Rattus norvegicus: one gene and its partner. The protein of the gene in region 1 purifies or fractionates together with the protein of each later gene. This does not show direct contact. Links are inferred from orthologs where the notes say so. Each region holds a gene or a part of one and is shown on either strand. Other genes may lie near its edges. The genes, in order: Dnaja1 and Endog.

Region 1 (11,094 bases):
GTGCCCTCCCCAGAAAAACAGAAGAGGTGCCAGCTGCGGTTCCAAATAGATGGACGCAGGATGACTTGGAGTTCAAGGTATCCTGAACTACACACCAAATTCAAGTAGCCTGGGCTACATGAGACTCTATCCTCCCCAAAAGAAAAGCAAAAGAGAAAAGGAGATGGGGTTAGGGGTAACTTAAATGAAAAGTTTGTACTTCTTAAGAACATTACAGACATATCAGCAAACATTCTCTCCCTTACCCTATCCTCACACCGGCAGTTACACTACCAAGCTGGATTAGAAGGCTGAGTGAGGATCCCTCTGTAAGGCAGGATGAATTAAGAATTAAGCTTTGGGGCTGGAGAGACGGCTCAATGATTAAGAGCACCGACTGCTTTCCAGAGGTCCTGAGTTCAAATCCCAGCAATCATATGGTGGCTCACGACCATCTGTAATAAGGGATCCGATTCGCTCTTCTGGTGTGTCTGAAGAGAGCGACACACACACACACACACACACACACACACACACACACACACACACGTGCATGTGCATGTGCAATAAGAGGAAACTGAACGGAAGGGCCAAATGTGGTGACTCATACCTGTAATCCTAGCATTTGGAGGCTGAGGCAGGAGGACTAACCTAAATTCAAGACCAGCCTGGGCCACAGAGTAAGACAGGAAGTATGGGATTTTTTTTTAATTTTATTATTTTAGGTGGACGTGTACTTTGTCTGTATGTATGTCTATGCACTGCATACATACACTGCATACATACACTGCATACAAAGAAAAAATGTTAAAGCAGTAAGATATTAACTTCTCACATACACTCCCAAACAGGGTCTTAAATATCCCAAGCAGCCTCAAACTTTCTATGTAGCCTCCGTTGGCCTTGAACTCCTGAGCTTCCTACATGAGCCTCCCAAATGCTGGGATGACAGGTCAAAACCAACGCATTTAATTAAGTTTTGACTTGTAAAGCTGGCAAACATTTAACAGAACAACAAGAAAGCAAATTAGAATCCCCTACACTCGGAAGGCTCATTCACACACGTGCTGCTGGAAGCAGCTTGAACCAGCATACAAAGTCGATATAACTTTCAATTTGCAGTCGCATTGGCTCAGCGGTTAGGTGTTTGTCCTAAAGAAATATTTGCTGCAAGTGTGGTGGTAGAGGCCTGCAATCCCAGCTCTTTTCAGGCTGAGTCAGGAGGATTGCAAGTTTGAAAACAACCTGTGCTGCATAGAGGTCTAGAAATTGGGTGTGGTAGCGTATGCCTGTGAAGCTTGAAGGGTCAATGGCTCCCTGCTTCGGGGGAGCTGAAATCCACCCACCTCCCCTGCTTTCCCCCCTTTTATTTTCGAATCACTTCAATCAACTCTAATCTACAAAGGAGGATCATGTTTTTGAGGCTGGCTTGGACTACACAGAGGGTTCGCGGTCTCAACTCTGTGAGGCCTATAGGAGGTTGAAAAAGCACGAAAGAAAAATAAAGTTTGTATGAGAACCTAAAACTGTATTTGGAGATCTTCAACACTTAACCATAAAATACTGGAAACTGCTGAAACATTGAATAGGGAACAGGAAACCACATCAAAAATAACAAGGCTGATTTATTTACCCCAACAAAACGATGTTGTAAACAACTCGTGCAAGACGGTTTTCTTTCTTCTTTTTTTTTTTTTTTTTTTTTTGGGAGCTGGGGACCGAACCCAGGGCCTTGCGCTTCCTAGGTAAGCGCTCTACCACTGAGCTAAATCCCCAGCCCCTGTTTTTTTTCTTCTTTGCAGTCCTAAGAGTTGCACCTGGGGCTTGAACAGGCTAAGAAGCACTCATTCTGTGAGTTAGGTTCTCACTCCCAAAGATGGTGTTACACCTAATTCGAGTGACCTTGAGTTCACCAGCCTCTTGGTTCTGCTTCCTAGTTCTGAAATTTCAGGTGAGATCTCATTTCCGTGCCCCCCCCCCAAAAAAAACACATATGAAGTTGCTGGACATTTTTTGGGCTGTTTGTTTGTTTTGAGATAGTGTCTTACTCTGTAGCTCTGTCTGTCCTGGAACTTGCTATGTAGACTGGGCTGGCCTCTGTATCAGAGATCTGCCTGCCTCTGCCTTCAGAGTAAAGGCGGACTTTATCAGCCTAGCCCGATTTTTTTTTTTGTTTGTTTGTTTGTTGGTTTGTTTGTTTGTTTGGTTGGTTGGTTTTGGGGTTTTTTTTGTTTGTTTTTTTTTGTTTTTAATTCTGTTTTTTTTTTTTCTTCTCTCATTACAAGTTAAGTTCCTTGAGGGTAGGGGCCATGGCTTACAAAAGTTTTGTATTGACAAGGCCTAGAGTACACCTGGCATATTAGGTAATTTACTCCAAAGCGCTGGCTTAAAGCAGCAGTTCTCAACCTGTGGGTCTTCATCCCTTTGGCAAACCTTTAGCACACATTTATATTACAACTCATAGCAGTAGTAGCATACAGTTATGAAATAGCAATGAAAATAATTTTATGGTTGGGGGGTCTCCACAACATGAGCTAGAATAAAGGGTTGCAGCATTAGGAAGGTGGAGAACCCCTGCTTTAAAGACATAACCTATTGCTAGATGTGATATCTGAGAAGGCAACATGAGATGAGAAAGATCAGATGTCTCTCAGCCAAAACCAGAGCACATAATCAACCATCTATGGCGTAGTGTTAGTGACTGAGTTTAGTGAAAGCAGTAATGGTGGTGGGGCAGAGCAGTACAACATTGAAATTCTAAAACCATTAGCTTTTTAAGACTAAGAGCTGGGCTGGAGAGATGGCTCAGTGGATAAGAGCACTGACTGCTCTTCCAAAGGTCCTGAGTTCAATTCCATGTTGTGGCTCATAACCATCTGTAATGGGATCTGATGCCCTCCTCTGGTGTGTACGAAGACAGCAACGGTATCCTCATAAAAGAATAAAAAAAAAAAAAAAAAAAAGACTAAGAGCTAAAGATGTCTTTGGGCAGGTTTGAAGGCAGCCTTTACAGCTCCCTTAGCTCTGGCTACATCCCTGTGACCTCCTTAAAGCACTGCTCAGCTGGTGAAGCACAGAAGACCCGAGTTACCTGTGTAAAGGAGAGAACTACAATAATGGTCCACAGTTAAAACACACACAATATAACAAACATTTAACACATCTTATTCCACAAAAGTCTAAGCAGGAGGCCCCATGGTCTTCCTCTTCACAACTGCTCAGAGGCTGAAGAGTTCAGAGTTTGAAGCCAGCTTTGGCTACAAAGAGAGTACCAGGCCAGTCTGGGCTCAAAAACAAGGCTAAGGGGTGTAGAGAGATAACTAATCCGTTTAAAGCACTGGTTGCTCTTGCAGAGGCCCCAGGTTCACTTCCTAGCATCCACGTGGTGACTTAAAATTATCTGTACCTCCAGTTACCACAGGAACTAGGTATGCATGGGGTGCATAGACACACATGTAAACAGAACACTCATATACAAACAGTAACTAAAAAAACCTTAGAAGTCAAACAAGAAAACTAAATAATAAAATGTGACTAAGTTATCTGGAATAGTCAAATTCATAGATTCTATGTCTCTGGCTTCCTTGGGCACCTATACACACAGATACACACGATTGGAATTAAATCTTTTTAAACTATGTGAACTCTTTAAGCTTGCACCTCCACTTCTTTGATGTGTCTATTGTGTTACTGAATAAGAAAAACATTCACTGTCCCTTGAAAGCTTAAGATTCAACTTTGCCAACTATAGATTTTGATTCACTAACTGGAAATAAAAACGGTCAAAAAATTGAAACAATAAACTAAAGCAATTAATTTCGTGTTTTGCTGCTACTCTGCAGCCAAACTGGGTGGCAGACTGACTAAAAAGGTGCGTGAAGCATTCTAAATGTTTCCTGTTTGGTGCAGTCCCAGGTTCTGTCCGCCCAAGTCAGAGCCAGAAGGATCTGAAGCCTGGGCTCATCCAAAAAGCTGTGACAGGAGTGCGCTTGGGTGAAACCACCGGATCCAAAGCCTGCAAGGCTAGTCTAGGGACTAGGCCCGCCTTGCTCAGCATTTCTTGCCCGCAAGGCTCAGAGCTAAGGAGCTGCAGAAAATTAGACTCCGGTGAGGTTAGGATCCCTTCTGCACAGCGCCTGAAGCACTCGTCCCCGGCTTACGGCTCTGGGACATGACCTCTCCACCTCAAGACTTCCGCCCTCTGGTACCTCGCATAAAGAAAAAGCCTCTAGAAGATTCTACAAGGATCGGGAACCCGGGCCTGAGTCCACCCCCACAAGGCCCTTGGGCGCAGCCACTCTCCGCCCCCGCGCCGTTGCCCAGGTAACCGAGGGGCGGTGGCAGAAGCGAGGGGCGGGACTTCCGGCAAGTGACGCGCCCGGGCTCCGCTACAAAAGAGGTCGGCTGCGGCGGGCCGGGCGGAACTTTCCAGAACGCTCGGTGGGTGGTAGAGGAGCAGCGTCTGGCCGAGCTGCGCTGTGCTACGCTCCTCTTTCCGCTCTCCGGCGCCGGCCCGCTCACCGGTGAGTCTAGGTCCTTGGGTCTCCCTCGGTCGCGGCGTGCGGCCTGGGCACCAGACAGCCGGGGAAGCCGCAGCCGGAGGCGGTTGGTCCCGCGTGGGCGGGGACTGTGGGTTCCCTGAGCCGGGCTCGGTCTTCGGAAGGCTGCCGGGAATGCCCGGCGCCCTGCCCGCCCGCACGCCACGAGGCGGCCCAAGGCCGAAGCCAATTCGCCTCCCGCCTCAGACTCTTCGGTGCGCACCGCCGCCCGGGCTGGGTGGGCAGCGCTGCGCACGCGCGGACCGAGGCAGGGGTGAGGGGCTGCGGGAGGAGCGGGGCGGAGGCTGCGGCTTGCGCTTCTCCTGGCTCTCCTCCCTTTCTTTGTTGAGTCCGGCCTTCCCCCTCCGCCTTTTCGATCAGGGTGGGAGGGAGAAAGGAAGGAAACCTTAACGGTCGGCGCCAGGTGCCGGGGAAACCCAGAGGGCGAGTCAGCTCCGCAGGCCTGAGGGGCGAGAGTGGGTAAGTTGCGAGCGAGCAGGAGCAGGATGGCGAAGGGGCCTGGGCACCTGCTCTCTCGAGCTGGTCTCATAAGCCACTCCTCCACCCCCGGGTGTCCAGTGTCCCTTTCCGGCGAGGGTATGGCCTTTATCAGATGTACAAAGGCAGTGGTAATGTACTAACCAGTGGATGGAACCTATCAGTGCTGCTTTGGGTTACTAGCAAAACCTCTGGGGGAAAGGAAACCGGAAGAAACCCAATAATTCATGTGTTAGTGCAGTAGAGCAGGAACCAGCTGCTAGACAGACTTTCCTTCGCCTTCCCTGAAATTTAAATTTAGTCTGTTAGAATTTACAGCTGAATCATAGCAGGAATTTTTACCTTTTAAGACGTTTAGGGAAGGCTGTATTAATATGAGATAAAGGCAAAAAACCAGATTGCTTTAGTTCTGGTAGTTAAAAACTATAAGTTAAGAGCCAGTCATCTCTCAGGAGGCAGAAGCAGATGTTTTTTTTTTGTTTTGTTTTGTTTTGTACAAAAGGTAAAAGCAAGTTTAAAATTATCATTTTCTGATTTCAGGCTGTAAAAAATGGTGAAAGAAACTACTTACTATGATGTTCTGGGGGTCAAACCCAATGCCACCCAGGAAGAATTGAAAAAGGCATATAGAAAATTGGCCTTGAAGTACCACCCTGATAAAAATCCAAATGAAGGAGAAAAGGTAAGCAGCTCAGCAGTGTTGCCATGTGAATTAAGTCTGTACGGTAGCTGTGCTTTCTAACAGTTGTTTCTAATGGGATATCCTTTTCTGAAACAGTTTAAACAGATTTCTCAAGCTTATGAAGTTCTTGCTGATTCCAAGAAAAGGGAACTATATGATAAAGGGGGCGAGCAGGCGATTAAGGAGGGCGGAGCAGGTGGAGGTTTTGGCTCGCCCATGGATATCTTTGATATGTTCTTTGGAGGAGGAGGAAGGATGCAAAGAGAAAGGAGAGGTAAGAAAAAAATCTAGCTTACCTGCAGCAGAACAAAGTAACTGCTGATGAAAGAAAGACTTGAGAATTTATTTAAATGTTTTTTTACTCTTTAGCGTGATGTTACATTCTGTCCATGAACTGTCTCTGACTTCTGGTGTCATTTATAATTGAGTTGCTGTGGTTGTTTGGTTTGTTTGGTTTTTTATAATTTTTATTTTATGTGCACTGATGTTTTTGCCTGCATGTATGTCTGGATGAGGGTGTCAGATCTTGGAGTTATAGACAGTTGTGAGCTGCCATGTGGATGCTGAGAATTGAACCCTGGTCCTCTAGAAGAGCAGCCAGTCCTGTTAACCACTGAGCCTTCCCTCTAGCCCCTATAATTGAGATTTTATGTAACCAAAAAGTAGCTAAGCCAAAAAAGCAGGTATAACCAACTCCATATATTTTCAAACAGTAGGGTAACAAATTGTAGTAACAACTTAGGGTTTCTGGGCTGGAGAGATGGCTCAGTGGTTAAGAGCACCGACTGCTCTTCCAGAGGTCCTGAGTTCAAATCCCAGCAACCACATGGTGGCTCACAACCATCCGTAATGGGATCTGATGTCCCTTTCTGGTGTGTCTGAAGACAGCTACAGTGTACTCATATACAAAATAAATAAATCTTTAAAAAAAAAAAAAACTTAGGGTTTCTAAGCCCTTTTGTATCTTAGATAATATCACCTGCTCTTAGAACTCAGTGGTAAGTGCAGTGGCCTTTTTCTGTTAAAAATATGTTGGAGAAGGGGTTGGGGATTTAGCTCAGTGGTAGAGCGCTTGCCTAGGAAGCGCAAGGCCCTGGGTTCGGTCCCCAGCTCCGAAAAAAAGAACCAAAAAAAAAAAAAATATATGTTGGAGAAAACGAAACCTTTTCAAGCAAAGACTGGATACAGCTCGTTGCCTCCAGATAGCCTGCTGCCTGTTTACTCTTCAGCTTCATTAGCTCAGCTTAGATGCATTGACTGTTGGATCAAAAGACGTATTTTATGGGAAGACAGTATTGGAGGTTAAAATGGCACTTTGTTCTCAATATAGTTAATACAAACTAATGGGTAGGCACAGTTAGAACAAATCGGCAGCCCATTAAATTTCACTTTGCCCTTTTAAAGGTTTAAGAAGACTTGAAAATCTGTTTACTGTGTTTTTATAAGAATTTACCTATGGGCCTGAGAAATTGCTCAGTGGTTAAGAACATTTGCCATTCCTTGCAGAAGATCCAGATTTTGTTTCCTAGCACCCACATTAGATAGCTGGCTCACTACTGCCTGAAACTCTAGCTAGCTCCAGGGGACCAGACAACCTCTTTTGGCCTCTTGGTTAAACATGTATGCACAAAAAATAAAAACCTATAATCCCAATCAACTGCTAACCATAAGATGGTATGAGCTACAGAAAAGTTATGACTAAACCTTTTTGGCTTAGATCAGTTTGAGGGGTTTTGTTAACTTGTTGCTGCTTTGGAAAATGTACTTGGTCATTTTCCAGAAGCTTTATTTTTCCTTTCTTGTATTCAGTATAAAGTTGAGAAAGCTCTAACTTTCAATTTGAGAACCTACATGCTTACATGTTCTCTTTATGATAATAAAAATACAAAGTGAAGCTAGAAGCACAATGTAGTGAGACTTTTAATAACCTCATTTAAAGAGTAAATATTTTTTTACGTATGATATTCAGAAAGGATTGGAACTTTATTTAGTAGTTAGGCAATGTTGATAGCGGTGGATAAAGTCCTAGTGGAAGGATCACTAGCTAGGAACTTATTAACCGTTGGTGGGTGATTTCATTTTTGTAACCAGGTTGTCCTTATGTGATCTCAACCAACCTACTTCCTGTTGTAGCTAATTATATGTGGCAATCTTTTGTCACTAGCCAGATAGGGGTCTTCAAGTTGAGTTAATTTAGAGGGGGGGGAAATTCTGTCCAGCTATAGTAGCCACCACACTTAAAATTGTATCTAGTAATTATGATTAGTGATTACAGTATTATACAAATAAAATGTGTCCATCATTACAGAAAGTTCTGTTGGACAATATTATAACAAAAGGCCTGGGTAATTTGAGACACCAATGTTAGCCTAGCAGTAAAAACTATTGAAACAGAAATAGAAATTGCTATTTCAGTAGTGTCTCTATTGGCTTCTCTGGCCAATCTTGATTAGAAAGAATTTACTGTGCTAAAGAATGTTTGGATTAAGTAACTGGCCATGTTGCTTAATAATGCCTAACAAGTAAAACTTTCAAAGGGATACATGCTTTGCATTGTGAAATGTGCCTGAACATTGACTTTTAAGGGTAGTATTTTAATTGCTGGATTTCTAAGAGGGTCTCTTGTGTTGATGAACTGCTCAGTTTTCTCATCTATGATTAGGTAAGCTTGAGAATCAAGTGATTGGAGGAATGTTGTGAGTATAGTTCAAAAAGATATGTAGCATGAGGCTGGTCTTCCATTATCTTTTGCCATTTTTATAGTGCCTTCAACAATGAAACGTTACAGATGGGTATTTAATGAGCAATGTTTTTATTCTAGGTAAAAATGTCGTGCATCAGCTCTCAGTGACCTTAGAAGACTTATATAATGGTGCAACAAGGAAACTGGCTCTGCAAAAAAATGTGATTTGTGACAAATGTGAAGGTAAGGGTTCTTAAGTGTGCTGAGTTGTTGTTAGTGGGGTTGTTGATGGTTTTTGAGAATAGGTTTTTGTAGGTTTGTTCCCCCCCCCCCCCCCAGCTGGGGACCGAACCCAGGGCCTTGCGCTTCCTAGGGCAAGCACTCTACCACTGAGCTAAATCCCCAACCCCAGTTTTTGTAGATTTAAGCTGGCTTTATCTTTTCTTCCTCAAATTTCTGAGCCACAGGGATTACCCCATACCTACCTAACTTCTAAAACTGAAATGCAACACTAAAAGCAGCTGAATCTTCTACCAAGAGAAACACAATGACTTTGTTGTGACATTTTCATGCCTGTATATAATTTTCATCATTGCTCTCTTCTCCAACTCCTCTTCCTTACATTCCTCTGTGTGCCTGTGGTTTGATGGCCCAGTGAGTCCTATTAGAGTTGTTTACAGGAATGGGGAAGGACTGTTCCCCAAAGGACAGGCACCACAATCAGTTAGCTACATGTAGAAGAAAATGTCTCTTCAGGGATGAGGCCTGGTCATCTGCTCCTTCCTTTATGACAAGATGTTGATGGGCCTAATCCTGTGTAGATCCTAACACTTTTTTTAAACAACACTTTGTACATTTTATATGTATGTTGTGTTTGTGTGGGATGTCAGAAAACTTGCAGTAACTAGTTTTTCTTCAACCATGCATGCATTAAAAATCAAACTGGGGTTGGTTAGACTTGGTGGCAAGTATTTTTCAAACTCTGATCTGTCTCAGTGGCACTAAATTAGCATCTTTTTGAAATTAATACTTAAGTTTTGTTTTTCATTTGTTATTGTTGGTTGGTTGGTCATCCAGGCTTCTGTCTCTAGTTCCTGAGTGCCTCCTAGTGTTAAATGTACAGTGTATACTACAGCATTTTGTCTACCCTTTTTTTTTTTTAAAGAAAAAAAAAGGATGGTCCTGATTCCAGGCATGTTTTAGATCTCTTATGAGATCGGCAAAACCTTGTCTCAAAAAAATTGTGCTGTGGGAACACATAATGTAAGATTGTGGTACAGGCTGTCTTGGAGTTACTGCTCATCTCACTACTCCCTTAAAGTGTTCTGAAAGTGAAATTCACTGTTAAGACCGCCCACTTCTTGAAGCTGACTAAAAAGGCTTGACACTCCATAACACCTGTCCCTTGTTTTGCTTTCCTGTGTGTTTATCTATGTACTGCTGCATGCAGTACCTGTGGAAGCCAGAAGTTCAGATCCCTCTGGAACTGGAGTTAAAGAGGATGTTTGTGAGCCACTATGTGGGTGCTGAGGAACAACCCCAGGCCCTCTGGAAAAGCAGCCAATCTTAATCCTTTAAATCAGTGAGGCATTTCTTTACAACTTGCCCTTCCCTTCCTATATCATCATCATCATCATCATCATCATCCACCTCCCCTCCCCCATCTGTGCCAAAAATCCTAAGAGTGGTGCTCTGACATCCTTTATCTAAAGACACACCTTCCCTTCACCCCACTCTCCAACACATGCAACTGCTTTTGCTGACCCATGTGTCTTGTTTAAACTAATTCAAGAGGAAGACCTCTCACCCTCCTCTTGACAATTGCTGAGATTCATAGCTTGCCTTTGTTTGCTTTTTCTCTCAAACTTCCAAAGAAGAATATTAATTTATCTGAATTGTACATTTTAGGATATCAGTCCATAAGGCCTTAAATACTGCGGCATTAGATTCTTGGTTACTGCTAAGTTAATGTATAAGTTTCTTTTAAAACTGTCTAGGCCGAGGTGGTAAGAAAGGAGCAGTAGAGTGCTGTCCCAACTGCCGGGGGACTGGCATGCAGATCAGGATTCATCAGATTGGACCAGGAATGGTTCAGCAAATTCAGTCAGTGTGCATGGAGTGCCAGGGTCATGGAGAACGCATCAGTCCTAAAGACAGATGTAAAAGCTGCAATGGAAGAAAGATAGTTCGAGAGAAGAAAATTTTAGAAGTTCATATTGATAAAGGTGAGTACTGATCCACTCTAGTCTGAATCATGTGTTTTATTCTGACTGTTTGATTCATAATGTGTATTTTGGTTTTTTGGTGTTTTTTTTGTTTTGTTTTGTTTTTTTTTTCTTTTTTAACCTTCATTACCTTTTGTACCACTTCCTTTTAAATTCTTTGCAAATTTATCATTTCGTGGTAGAGGTTTTTGTGATGTAATGTTTAATTAGGATTGCTTGCATGAGTGGGGATTATTTACTGGAACATGTACAATTTAACAGTGGCTATAGGATTTAAGAAAAGGGCTTCCTGCCAGTAACACCAACTTTCAGTAATTCTTCCAGTGAGGGTGTGGCCTAATGAACACGTCATAATTATTTTTAAAACTCTCCTTAAGTTGTATTTCTCTTACTGAGATGAGGATTTTTTTAAAGATTTATTTATTTAATATATATGAGTGCACTGTAGCTGTCTTCAGACACACCAGAAGAGGGCCTCAGTTCTCTTTA
Region 2 (11,053 bases), on another chromosome or scaffold:
GTCTCATCAGAGAGTGTGGGGTCTCCTGGGTCTAAGGCATCAAGGACATGAGGGGTCCAATTTCCAGGGCCACCCGCCGGGCTGTTTGCTGTACTTTGGGATGGAGTGGGGCTCTTCTGCCTTCAGAAGTTTTCTCTCCCTGTAAATAGCCCCACAGATATGAGTGCTAGCAAAGGCACAGCGGCCATCAGTGTCTCTTGTCTTTCTCAGCTCTAACACCTTAATCAGACCTGGCAGTTCAGCTTTCTGGGCTGAAATTCCTGTCAGGAGTAACTCTGCCCATATGATCTCGGTGTTTGTGACTACTGCTGTCCCAGCATAGCTCTGTCTATCCCAGATGGGTCTGTTGCCATTGGTAAGCCATGGTACCTCTGCATTCTTCAGAGCAGTTATGAAGAGGCCAATCAAAGTCAAGGTCAGGTAGCAGGGCAGCTGAAGTGATCCTGGGGCATTCAAGAGAAGAGGCTGGTAATGAATTATTCTGGCATCATCTTTAACCAGGAGGTCATTGCTGCACTGATGTGTAAACAGGGCGGGGCCGCCTTCTGCCAATTGGTGACACATTAGCCAGTGGCTGACACCAGGGCCCCCAGTCTGAGTATGCATCCCTGGGTTTAGGGAGGTCACATGCAGTTGGCCGAGTTAGGGCTTCTTAGTGGAGGCTCAATAGTCCAATTTTCTAGAGCCTCTAAGAGGTCCTCTGTTTTTATTTCTATTGCCACTGGGAAGTCATTTATAAATTGATGAAGAGAATTTTTTTTTTTTGGTTCTTTTTTTCGGAGCTGGGGACCGAACCCAGGGCCTTGCGCTTCCTAGGCAAGCGCTCTACCACTGAGCTAAATCCCCAACCCCAAGAATTTATCTTCAGGCTTTACCAAGACAGAATGTAAACTTTATTAATTATCAACAAAAAGCCGGTGGATTTTTTTTTTTTTTGGTTCTTTTTTTTGGAGCTGGGGACCGAACCCAGGGCCTTGCGCTTCCTAGGCAAGCGCTGTACCACTGAGATAAATCCCCAACCCCAAGCCGGTGGATTTTACTTTTACTTTTAGGGTTACTCCAGGTTTGGGGAGGGGGTGCTTTTGGTCTTCAGGGCCCCCTTACCTCCTTCTTCTGAAGTTATCTGTTTTAGGCATCTCCTATGGACTTCTGGTTTGGCCATGGTTGCCAAAAGGAACTTTGCCGGATCTCACGTCTGTTGGTCCTGACCTCTCATCTGCTTCTCCTCTGCAGTCTCTCTCTCTCTCTCTTTTAAAATACCTTCTTTGCCACTAAGTTCCTCACATTCCTTTCTCCTAACCTCTCAACCCTCTAGAGCTTTTTCTAAATATCTGGTGCTGCATGATTAATAAAAGCTAGAGTAACTGCTGCCTTTGCCTCTGGTGCAGAGTCCATTGGGAACTATTGTTGAAATGTCTCCATGACCCTCTCCACAAAAGCTGCAGGCCTTTCCTTTTCTCCATGCCTAATGTCATACACTCTGGACAAATTTGTGGGCTTTCTTGCAGGTGCCTTGAGACCTAACAGCAGAACCTGACAATAGTCTAAGGACCTGCTCTCAGACTGGGTGGTGTGAAAATCCCAGTCTGGGTGAGATAGGGGGAAGTAAGCATCCACAGTTGCTTGGTTACTGGTGGGCTCCCCTGTGGGGCCAGGAACCAGCTTTCTGGCCTCTTCTTTGGTGAAGGGAACCTGTAGAATGTGGTAGACGTAACCTGCTTCATGTTAATATAGCCATCAAAGTCCAAGTCACTTTATCAAAGTCACCTTGTAACGAGAAACACAAACACAACACAACACCACAACAAACAAGAAAAATAAAACAAAAAAACCCCTGAGAAACAACAAGAAAGTGGCACTCATGACAAAGACCTCTCTATGACACCCAAAACACAAGTCCAACCTTTCCTCTCTATCAGGCAGAAACAAGAAACAACCAGAAAATGGAGTACTCACACAAGAAAAAAAGAACCAGATTGGTGGATGTCTCTCAGCTTCCTGGAGCTCTTGCATACCCCAGACCTAGACTGAGGACATCTCCTGGCCCTTCTTTAGCCACAGCTCCCAGACACGTCTGTCCTAACAGCAAACCAGTCACGGAAACAAATTCACAGCTTTGTTCACAGAAAGATGTGGCATTATTTGGAGTCAATGAACACAGAAAGGCACAACCAGAAACAAAAACCAAAAACAGAAAAAAATAGAGCCTACAATAAGGAGAATAAAGTAGAAAGTAGTGCTCACAGGAGATTGATGCAACACCTCTCTGAATCTGTGAACAGCCAGCCAGCAACAAAAACCAAAACTAGAGAAAAGATACAGCCTGCAGTAACAAGAAACAACCAGACGGTGGTGCTCACACAAGCAGTACTGCACAGATGTTTATTCAGACCTGGAAAAATCACCATGGCAACATAAGTCATTTATCTTTACACAGTTTTCGTTCCCCTCTGTACATCTCTTTTTGTTTGTTTGTTTGTTTGTTTTTTTTTCCGGAGCTGGGTACTGAACCCAGGGCCTTGTGCTTGCTAGGCAAGCGCTCTACCACTGAGCTAAATCCCCAACCCCCCTCTGTACATCTCACAGAAAACTTCTAACATTTAGACAAATTAGCCATCACACAAATCACAAGGTTTTGTACCATTGCCCATGTATTCACCCAGGTACAGTGTACTCACTGTAAATAAAATTTTAAAACAAAAGAAAACAAAATTATGTTGTCTGTATAGGTGTTTCGCCTACAAATCTTTTGGTGTTACAGATGGTTGTGGCCTGCATGTAGGTGCTGGAAACTGAACCTGGGACCATTGCTAGACCAACAAGTGCTCTGAATGCTGCACCATGACTTCAGCCCAAACTTGGTTCTTTTTTTTCCATTAATTTGTTTCAATGGTCCATGGTGGCACACACCTTTAATTCCAGCACTTGGACGGCAGAGGTAGGCAGATCTCTGAGTTCCAGGACAGACAGGGTTACACAGAGAAACCCTGTCTTAAAAAAAAAATTAACCAATCAACCAAATGTATTTATATGATTTCCCTCCAATACCCTTTGTTTGTCAACATGTACAGATGCCCTATGTCCCTATTTATCTTTTTTAAAAGACTTATTTTATTTATATGAGTACACTGTTGCTGTCTTCAGACACACCAGAAGGGGGCATCAAATTCCATTAAAGATATTTGTGAGCCACCATTTGGTTGCTGGGAAGTGAACTCAGGACTTTGTGAACAGTCAATGCTCTTAACCGCTGAACCATTTCTCCAGCGCCCTACCCCAATTATCTTTTAATGCATAATTGGTTCTGTCTCATGCTAATGGGTATAGCTGTGACTGTACACTCTCAGCCCAATTTTCTTCAGTTTTTTTTCCTTTTTTCTTTTTCTTTTTTTTTTTTTTTTCGGAGCTGGGGACCGAACCCAGGGCCTTGCGCTTGCTAGACAAGCGCTCTACCACTGAGCTAAATCCCCAACCCCTTTTCTTCAGTTTTTACATATCGTTCTTCCTTCACCTTAATAAGGTTGCAGTCTTAATATATTCATAGGTTAAATATTGCTTCATCTGATATGCAGGAAATATTCTTATCCAGCCCCTGTCCTGTGGACAGGAATCACTGGCCTACACAACCAACTTGCCAGGCCCAACCCATGAAACGGGTTGAGAAGTTAAGACACCAGGAAGTATAGCTGTTTTTGTTAACCTTATTAGCAAGTTTCAATTCCAGGCGGTTATCAGCAGCTACAGTTTTCACCTGCGTCCTACTGTTAGTCAATCTACAGGAATCCTTCGCTCATTTGGTGGCAGGAGGATGGGTGCACAGGAGGGGTCTGACAGATTTGGGGTTCTGTCCTGTTTAAAAGCAACTAGATTTCCCAGGGACTTGTGAGCAGTACAAGGCGAGGCGGAGCCAGACGTGGAACGACCAATGGCAAGCGGGTAGGGCGGTACCAGGCCCTTGCCCTGTCTTAAAAGGGCAGCTGAAGGGCGTGGGGGACACGGCACAGGCTCCTTCGCATTTTTGCTGTAGCTTTTTTTTCTTTAGGTAGCGCGCTGGTCCTCCGGTAGGCATGCGCGCGCTACGGGCCGGTTTGACCCTGGCGCTGGGCGCCGGCCTGGGCGCCGCGGCAGAGCATTGGCGGCGGCGAGAGGGTAAAGGGCCGGGGCTGCTGGGCCGAGTGCCAGTGTTGCCGGTTGTCGCGGCCGATCTTCCCGCGCTGCCGGGGGGACCGGCTGGCAGCACCGGAGAGTTGGCCAAGTACGGGCTGCCCGGCGTGGCGCAGCTCCGGAGCCGCGAGTCCTACGTGCTGAGCTACGACCCGCGCACGCGCGGTGCGCTCTGGGTGTTGGAGCAGCTGAGGCCAGAGCGGCTCCGTGGCGATGGGGACCGTCGCGCCTGCGACTTCCACGAGGACGATTCTGTGCACGCGTACCACCGCGCCACCAATGCGGACTACCGCGGCAGTGGCTTTGACCGCGGCCACTTGGCGGCCGCCGCCAATCACCGCTGGAGTCAGCGGGCCATGGACGACACCTTCTACCTGAGCAACGTAGCGCCTCAGGTAGTCCGGGACCCTTGTCGCCTGCCTCAACGCAGCGCCTAGATCTTACTTTACACGTGCATGGTGGCGGGAGGGAGGAATCCTATGGTCGCACTGGAGAGTCCCGGGTTCATCCCTCTTCAGCCTCCCGTGGCAAGCAGTGCACTAAGCAGTGATTAGCTGCAGCAATGTCAATAGCAAGCGACCCAAAGTGCTTCCTCAGGGAACCCTGGAGCTGGCCTACAGCAGCTGCCAGGGAAACAGCTGCCATGAAGTTGGGCTGCTGGTGCCAGTCACACCACCAGGACACATTGTTAGCACTACACCAGCTCCCAGCAGGGCCTTGATCGTGAAATAGGTTTCTGGGACATCCATTCAGTGGATGGAGATGAACAGGAGCCCACACAACACTCCACCCCTTTTTGTTGCTCGAAGTTTTTTTTTTTTTTTTTTGGTTCTTTTTTTTCGGAGCTGGGGACTGAACCCAGGGCCTTGCGCTTCCTAGGTAAGCGCTCTAACCACTGAGCTAAATCCCCAGCCCCAGTTGCTCGAAGGTTTGAGACAGGGTTTCTCTGTGTAGCCCAGGCTACCCTGGAACTCAAGAGATCTGCCTGCCTCTGCCTCCTGAGTGCTAGAATTACTCACACCTTTTTTTTTTTTTTTTGGTTCTTTTTTTTTTTTCGGAGCTGGGGACCGAACCCAGGGCCCTGCGCTTCCTAGGCAAGCGCTCTACCACTGAGCTAAATCCCCAGCCCCCTACTCACACCTTTTTTAGAGCTTGTCCTGAGGTTTGGGAGTTTCAAGGGACCTTAGGGGTCTCTGAGTGACTAATGTTCCCTCTTTCCTTTCTTTGAGTTGGGGAAAGCTTAAAGATTTGGAGTGCCAGGGATGGGGTGTGGCTAGCACTGGCTTAACACCTGTAGTCATATTGCCTCAAGGAGTGACCCCTTTCTTGAGCCCTGTCCTCCAAATGTTTGGGAATCGACCTTAGGACTTGGGACATCCCTAATAGAAGGTCCGAGGTGTGCTCCTGAGCCTGGCTTCTCCCACCAGGTGCCACACCTCAACCAGCATGCCTGGAACAACCTTGAGAAGTACAGCCGCAGCTTGACTCGAACTTACCAAAACGTTTATGTCTGCACAGGGCCTCTTTTCCTGCCCAGGTAAGGCTGCAGCTCCTGTTCTCCAACCTCATGCTTTCTGCATCACTGTAGCCGGAGACCTTAGGGTGGCCTAGAACTCTGTTGTGCCCGCAGGTGCCTGGCCTCACACCTGCCTTCCCCCCCCCCCCCCCCCCCCCCCGCTTCTCATGCCTCACCACCTGTAACCTGTTGCTACACAAGGGTCTCTCTCACCGCTGCCTCTGATCTTCCAGACAAGTGAGCCAGTTTTGCTCCTCTGGACAGCCGCAGGAAGTGTCACCAGCACAGGCTGCACGAGGCGGCAGCTGCTGAGGAAACTCTGTGGTGTCCACTGAGCATCAATCATGGCCTCCACTCATGCTTGTTTGGTGTACGGCCTATGGGACAGGTTCTAGTCGTGTGAGCATGGGTGAGCATCCAGGTCTAGAGAACTCATTAGAACTCATTCCTCTATCTTCATTTATTGCCACCCATTCTGTCTGAACCAGCATTGGGCAGAAAAGCATTGGTCCCCACCATACATAGTTCCCAGACCAAAGGAGGAATCAGGCACAAACAAACTTCTTGTTGGAAGTTAGGTCAGAGGAGGCTTCCTGGAAGAGGTGACCTTGAATCTAACCAGGCCTCTTGGCCACCTGTGCCTGGGTCTATCCACAGGACCGAGGCTGATGGGAAGTCCTATGTGAAGTACCAGGTTATTGGGAAGAACCACGTGGCAGTGCCCACACACTTCTTCAAGGTGTTGATCCTGGAGGCAGCCAGTGGGCAAATCGAGCTGCGTTCCTATGTGATGCCCAATGCCCCGGTGGATGAGACTCTCCCTTTGGAGCGCTTCCTAGTGCCCATCGAGAGCATCGAGCGGGCCTCGGGATTGCTCTTCGTGCCCAATATTCTGGCTCGAGCTGGAAACCTCAAGGCCATCACTGCTGGTAGCAAGTGATGGAGTAGGACTCACTCAAGACTCTGGGAGACGGCTCGCATTAAAGGCAGTTATTTTTGGAGAGAAGTCTTGACCATCTCTACTCCCTGTGATCCTCCTTGTCTTGCTGCTTCCTCTCATCCTGGATCCAGAGGGCTGTCAGGTGGGTCGCGCCCCTCCCTGGGTGAGGCCAGGCTGCAGAGCGGCCAGTGAGATGAGTATGGCCTCCTGGAATAAAAGAAGTTGGTTGTGACCTGGTAGGCAGGCAGCCTTCCTTTTCAGAGCCCCACGTGGGGTCTACCTCAGAGCCAGGAGGGGAAAGACGACTGGTTGGCAGGAATTAGTAACATGGGCAGGGCTTCAGACAGGGAGACTGGGGCTGCTCATCTGCAGAGTCACCGCCCCTGAGGCTGAAGGAGGAACAGAGCCTCCCTGTGATCCCCATAGGGACACAGCCCATGCTGGCCTCAAGGACGGTTGCATGGATCTGTGGATGCTGGGATCTTGTTCCACTTTCCCCAGGAACAGAAATGTCTAACACCCAGAGGGGACACTCGGAGGGGGGATGGGTTAAAAAAAAACAGAACCGAACACCCGGAGGGACCTAGGCAAGCACACGGAAGCCAGAGGGCCTGCAGAGGGACAGACAGGACACCTGGGTCCCTTGGCCTAGGCACGTGAGACTACTACAGGGCCAGGAAGGCAACTCCTGTGCTCTTGTATCCAGGTCCTGCCCCTAGTTTGCTGTGGTAAAGATCCCAGCTTCAGAAAAGCTATTTAAATGGGGCTGGAGAGATGGCTCAGTGGATAAGGGCACTGGCTGCTTTTCCTCAAGTCCTGAGTTCAATTCTCAGAATGCACATGACAGTTCCTAACTCTAGTCTCCTGGGATCCAACGCCCTCTCCCGATGTACAGATGGACACAAGTACATGCAGACAAAACATCCCTAAGTGTCTTTTAGAAAAGGCATGCTGTGTGGGTCACAAGAGCTGGGTGCCAGTGGCTGCGGCTCACCTCGGTGCGGATGGTACGACTGCCCTGGCTAGGGCATGTGTTGACATAAAAGTCGAAGAGGACACTGGGGTCAGCCACTTCAAGGTTCGGGTCAGCATCCACTCCAGCTTCTAGCCCTTGGAGGCCTCCGAACACCACAAGAGCATGCCTGGTACCCAGAGAGGGAGACACTGACACCAAGGCTCCACTGATTGCAGTCTCCAGAGCCTAAGGTCCCTAACCCGCTGTGGATTAGGGCCCAGTTCCTGTACTAAGCAGCACTCACCTGAAGTTGGGCAGCTGGGTAGAGGCCACGCTGGAGCCACGTTCTGATGTCCCAATGGTCAGGTCATACCCATCCTGGAAGGGAGCCTCGGCAAACACAGCACCTGGGGGTGGGCAGACTCAGTGGGGTCTTGCTCTCGGCTGTGTGTCTAGTACAGTGTAGGGTCAGGTGGAGGGAGAGGTCAGGTAAAGAAGGCATCCACTGCTCTTGGGACGCTGACCTTGCCTGGGGAACATTCGGGGTAGGCAGGGAGAAGCTCCCAAGCCCCAGACGACGTTTAGCAGTCATGATACTTAAGTCAGCAAGGTCTTGCTCTCAGGTATCTAAGCTGGTCTCAAATGACAGTGAGATTTCTGTGCTGGCCTCGCTAGAGCTAAGATTGCAGCAGGATAGGGGCCAAGCACCTCCTGTTCTCAGATGTTCTTAGCATTCACAGAGATGTTCGGGGAGACTGGGGTACCAGAGATGAGACCAGAGACTAGAGGAGGCTTCACCTACACACACATCTTGGTAGGACAGAGACCCTGATCTGTGGGTCTCACAAGTGGGACAGATGGACACTTGGGGAGGGACGTCAGTTCTTACTGAGGCAGGAGGCCAGCCGGACAGTGTAGCCCCAGTAGAGACCAGCTTTGGTGCGGGGGTCCTGTGACGACACGACTGTTCCTTTGTACGTCTTGCATTCTGGAGAATAGGACAGGCTGTGAAAACCAAGGAGGCCGGTAGCGAGGAGGCAGCTCTAAGGGGCAGCTGTCAGGGTCAAGGTGGCCCCCAATACCTGGGAGCTGCTGCTGGTTCAGCCGCACGGTCACCCGAAGTCCAGGGTCCAGTTTCTTATCAATCTTCACTTCCTGAAGAGAAGCTAGCACAAGTGAGAGGCACAACACAAAGGGGACAATGTCCTCAGAGACCCCAGGTCAATGTGCCACCCTGTTTCTGGCAGTGGGTGGGACCTGCTAAGAAGGGCTGTTCATGCAGAACAATTATACAGGGCATTGGTCAGCAATGCAAGCCCAGGGCTTACAACATGGAGAGAGACAGTGTCTACGAAGCTACACTTGGATCCGGCAAGATGGTTCACCGGGTAAAGGCTCCCGTCCCCAAGCTTGAGGACCTGAGTTCACTTCCTACACAGTGGGAGAACTGACACCTGCCAAGTTACCCTTTGACCTCACATTCATTCCTTGGCATGAGCCTATTTACCCACACACTCTCTCACACACAGATTAAAGGTGGAAAAATTTAAATCTACCTAACCTCAAAAACAGCAAAGCTGAGAACATACCATCATGGGGCATGATTAAAGCTCAGGAACGAAATCAACAGAAAAACAGCACAGCGCCAACAAGAAATCCAGAGCATGGTTCCTTCTCGCTTCCTTAGGTGTGTGGGTATTTTGGCTGCATGTGTGCCAGGGAGTTATGCTCATGTCTGGGGCCCATGGAGGCCACAAGAGGGCACCAGATTCCCCAGAAGGGAGTTCCAGGGCTTTGTGATCCACAGCAGGGTTCTGCGTGTTGAACATGGGTCCTCTGCAAGAGCAGCCCGTGCTCTGTAGCCTGTGAGCCACCTCTGCAGCCGCGAGGGGCTCCTCTCTGGAGCCCCACTTTGGGTTCATTAGTGTTTCACAGCAGGCCTGGAGTCCAGGTCTCCTCGTTCATGTGTCCTCACCTGTCTTTCATAGATAGCAAGTGTCCCCAAGTGTACCACAGGCCGCCTTCCCACTCCTACCTTCTTCATTCCACAGTTGACCAAAGAGCCGTGGCCAGCCTTGGTGGGCCGGTCCACCACGACGCCTTCTCTGAACTCAGATTCTTCATCCTGACGCATGTGGTGAGGGCTGTCCAACGGGTTGAGGATTCCTGGGCAGGGGACAGGAGGGTGACGTCAGGCCAGGCTCTACTCTGGGCCTGCCTTCCTACCTGGAGGTGTCTGTGGGGCGGGATGATTTCTCAGTGCCTGAGGATGAGCCAGGGGGGATGGGACAGGCACAGCAGCCGTACCTGCAAACTGCAGATCCTGGTGCTTGGGGAAGAACGCTTTCCTCAGATACCTAGGCAGGAATGCAGCTGTCAGGACCGTCACGGGGAGGCTGCCCCCCAGCTACCTCAAAGGTGATGCCACCCTCACCTCACACTTACTGTGGACACTCCAGGTACTGCAGGATGCGGGCCAGCTGGACACATGCCTGCCCCTTCTTGCCAACGCCCCTGAATTCTCCCTCCACACTCCTGGAAAGATTAAGACAGGCCTCCAGACCCAAGTGCTGGGTTGCTGAGATGGCTAATCCTGAAGACCGAAATTCCATGCCCACAACCCCATTGGGAAAGGAGGCCTGGCAATCTGACTCCCACCAGTTTTTTTTTTTTTTCCACTTCTTTTTGGAGACTGGTTTCTTGGTGTAGCCCTGGCAGTCCTCCTTGCTCTGTAGACCAGGCTGTCCCTGAACTCTCAGAGACCCGCCTGCCTCTGCCTCCTGGGTACTGGGATCAAAGGCGTGTGCCACCAGTGCTCAGCTCAAACTGCATTCCAATCTCCACAACCACACTGGTGTTTGTATACAAGCACCGTAAAGAAATGTTACACAAACCCACAACCAGGGAAGTGCTGAGTGTCATGTGCTTCAGAGTAGAGCATGGGCAAAAACAAGTCCACTCTCTAGCACCAAGGGAGAGACAAGGTTCATCTGCAGCTGCCTTTGAGAGCTCCTCCCAGGCAGCCGGGCAGGGCACGAGGAGCAGGACAGAGCCACAGCCACCCTGCTGGTCCTCCCCTCTCCCCAAAGACTCACTTGGTATCCTGGCCCTCCTCATCGAACACCACAATCTCATCCACACAGAAGATGGCGCAGGCTCTGGCGATCTGGCCAGCCAGGTAGGTGCGGAGTTCAGGTGACTGGGCGTTGTCCAGGATGGAGCCTGGCAGGGCCACACTCAGAGTGTAAGGCCGTCCTAGCAGAGGCAGGGGGGTGTTCCTTAGTCAGTCTGATGGGCTGTGGGCCTCCCCTCCCTTGCATGTGTCCCGTGGCTCAGGGGAAGAGAACTGTCTGACACGGAGGAATTTTGAGATCATCAAGCTCCTCTTGGCTTCAATCTCTTCAGGAACTAAAGCCCCCAAGGCTTCTTAAAATAAGAAAGCCCAGAGGACAGGGTAAAGCATCAGTCAGCAGCACTG

The links.
Region 2: the proteins of Dnaja1 (region 1) and Endog purify together in Homo sapiens (affinity purification with mass spectrometry; 3 studies listed by BioGRID and IntAct, counting the BioPlex papers as one, with this or other methods). This does not show direct contact. The link is inferred for Rattus norvegicus from reciprocal best matches to the Homo sapiens genes DNAJA1 and ENDOG.

Annotation. Positions count from the first base shown.
Region 1 is NC_086023.1:60,634,013-60,645,106, forward strand, and holds the start of Dnaja1 (dnaJ homolog subfamily A member 1), read left to right. Parts: upstream 1-4,391; 5' UTR 4,392-4,502; intron 4,503-4,783; exon of another isoform or gene 4,784-4,861; intron 4,862-5,555; 5' UTR 5,556-5,565; coding exon 5,566-5,697; intron 5,698-5,793; coding exon 5,794-5,971; intron 5,972-8,518; coding exon 8,519-8,623; intron 8,624-10,377; coding exon 10,378-10,605; intron 10,606-11,094.
Region 2 is NC_086021.1:33,842,892-33,853,944, forward strand, and holds Endog (endonuclease G, mitochondrial precursor), read left to right. Parts: upstream 1-4,043; 5' UTR 4,044-4,067; coding exon 4,068-4,559; intron 4,560-5,591; coding exon 5,592-5,701; intron 5,702-6,115; exon of another isoform or gene 6,116-6,337; coding exon 6,338-6,620; 3' UTR 6,621-6,640; downstream 6,641-11,053. Other genes in the region: Spout1 (putative methyltransferase C9orf114 homolog), read right to left, coding at 6,759-6,827, 7,615-7,762, 7,880-7,982, 8,465-8,563, 8,658-8,730, 9,611-9,741, 9,883-9,932, 10,021-10,110 and 1 more. UniProt on the Homo sapiens protein: Endonuclease that preferentially catalyzes the cleavage of double-stranded 5-hydroxymethylcytosine (5hmC)-modified DNA.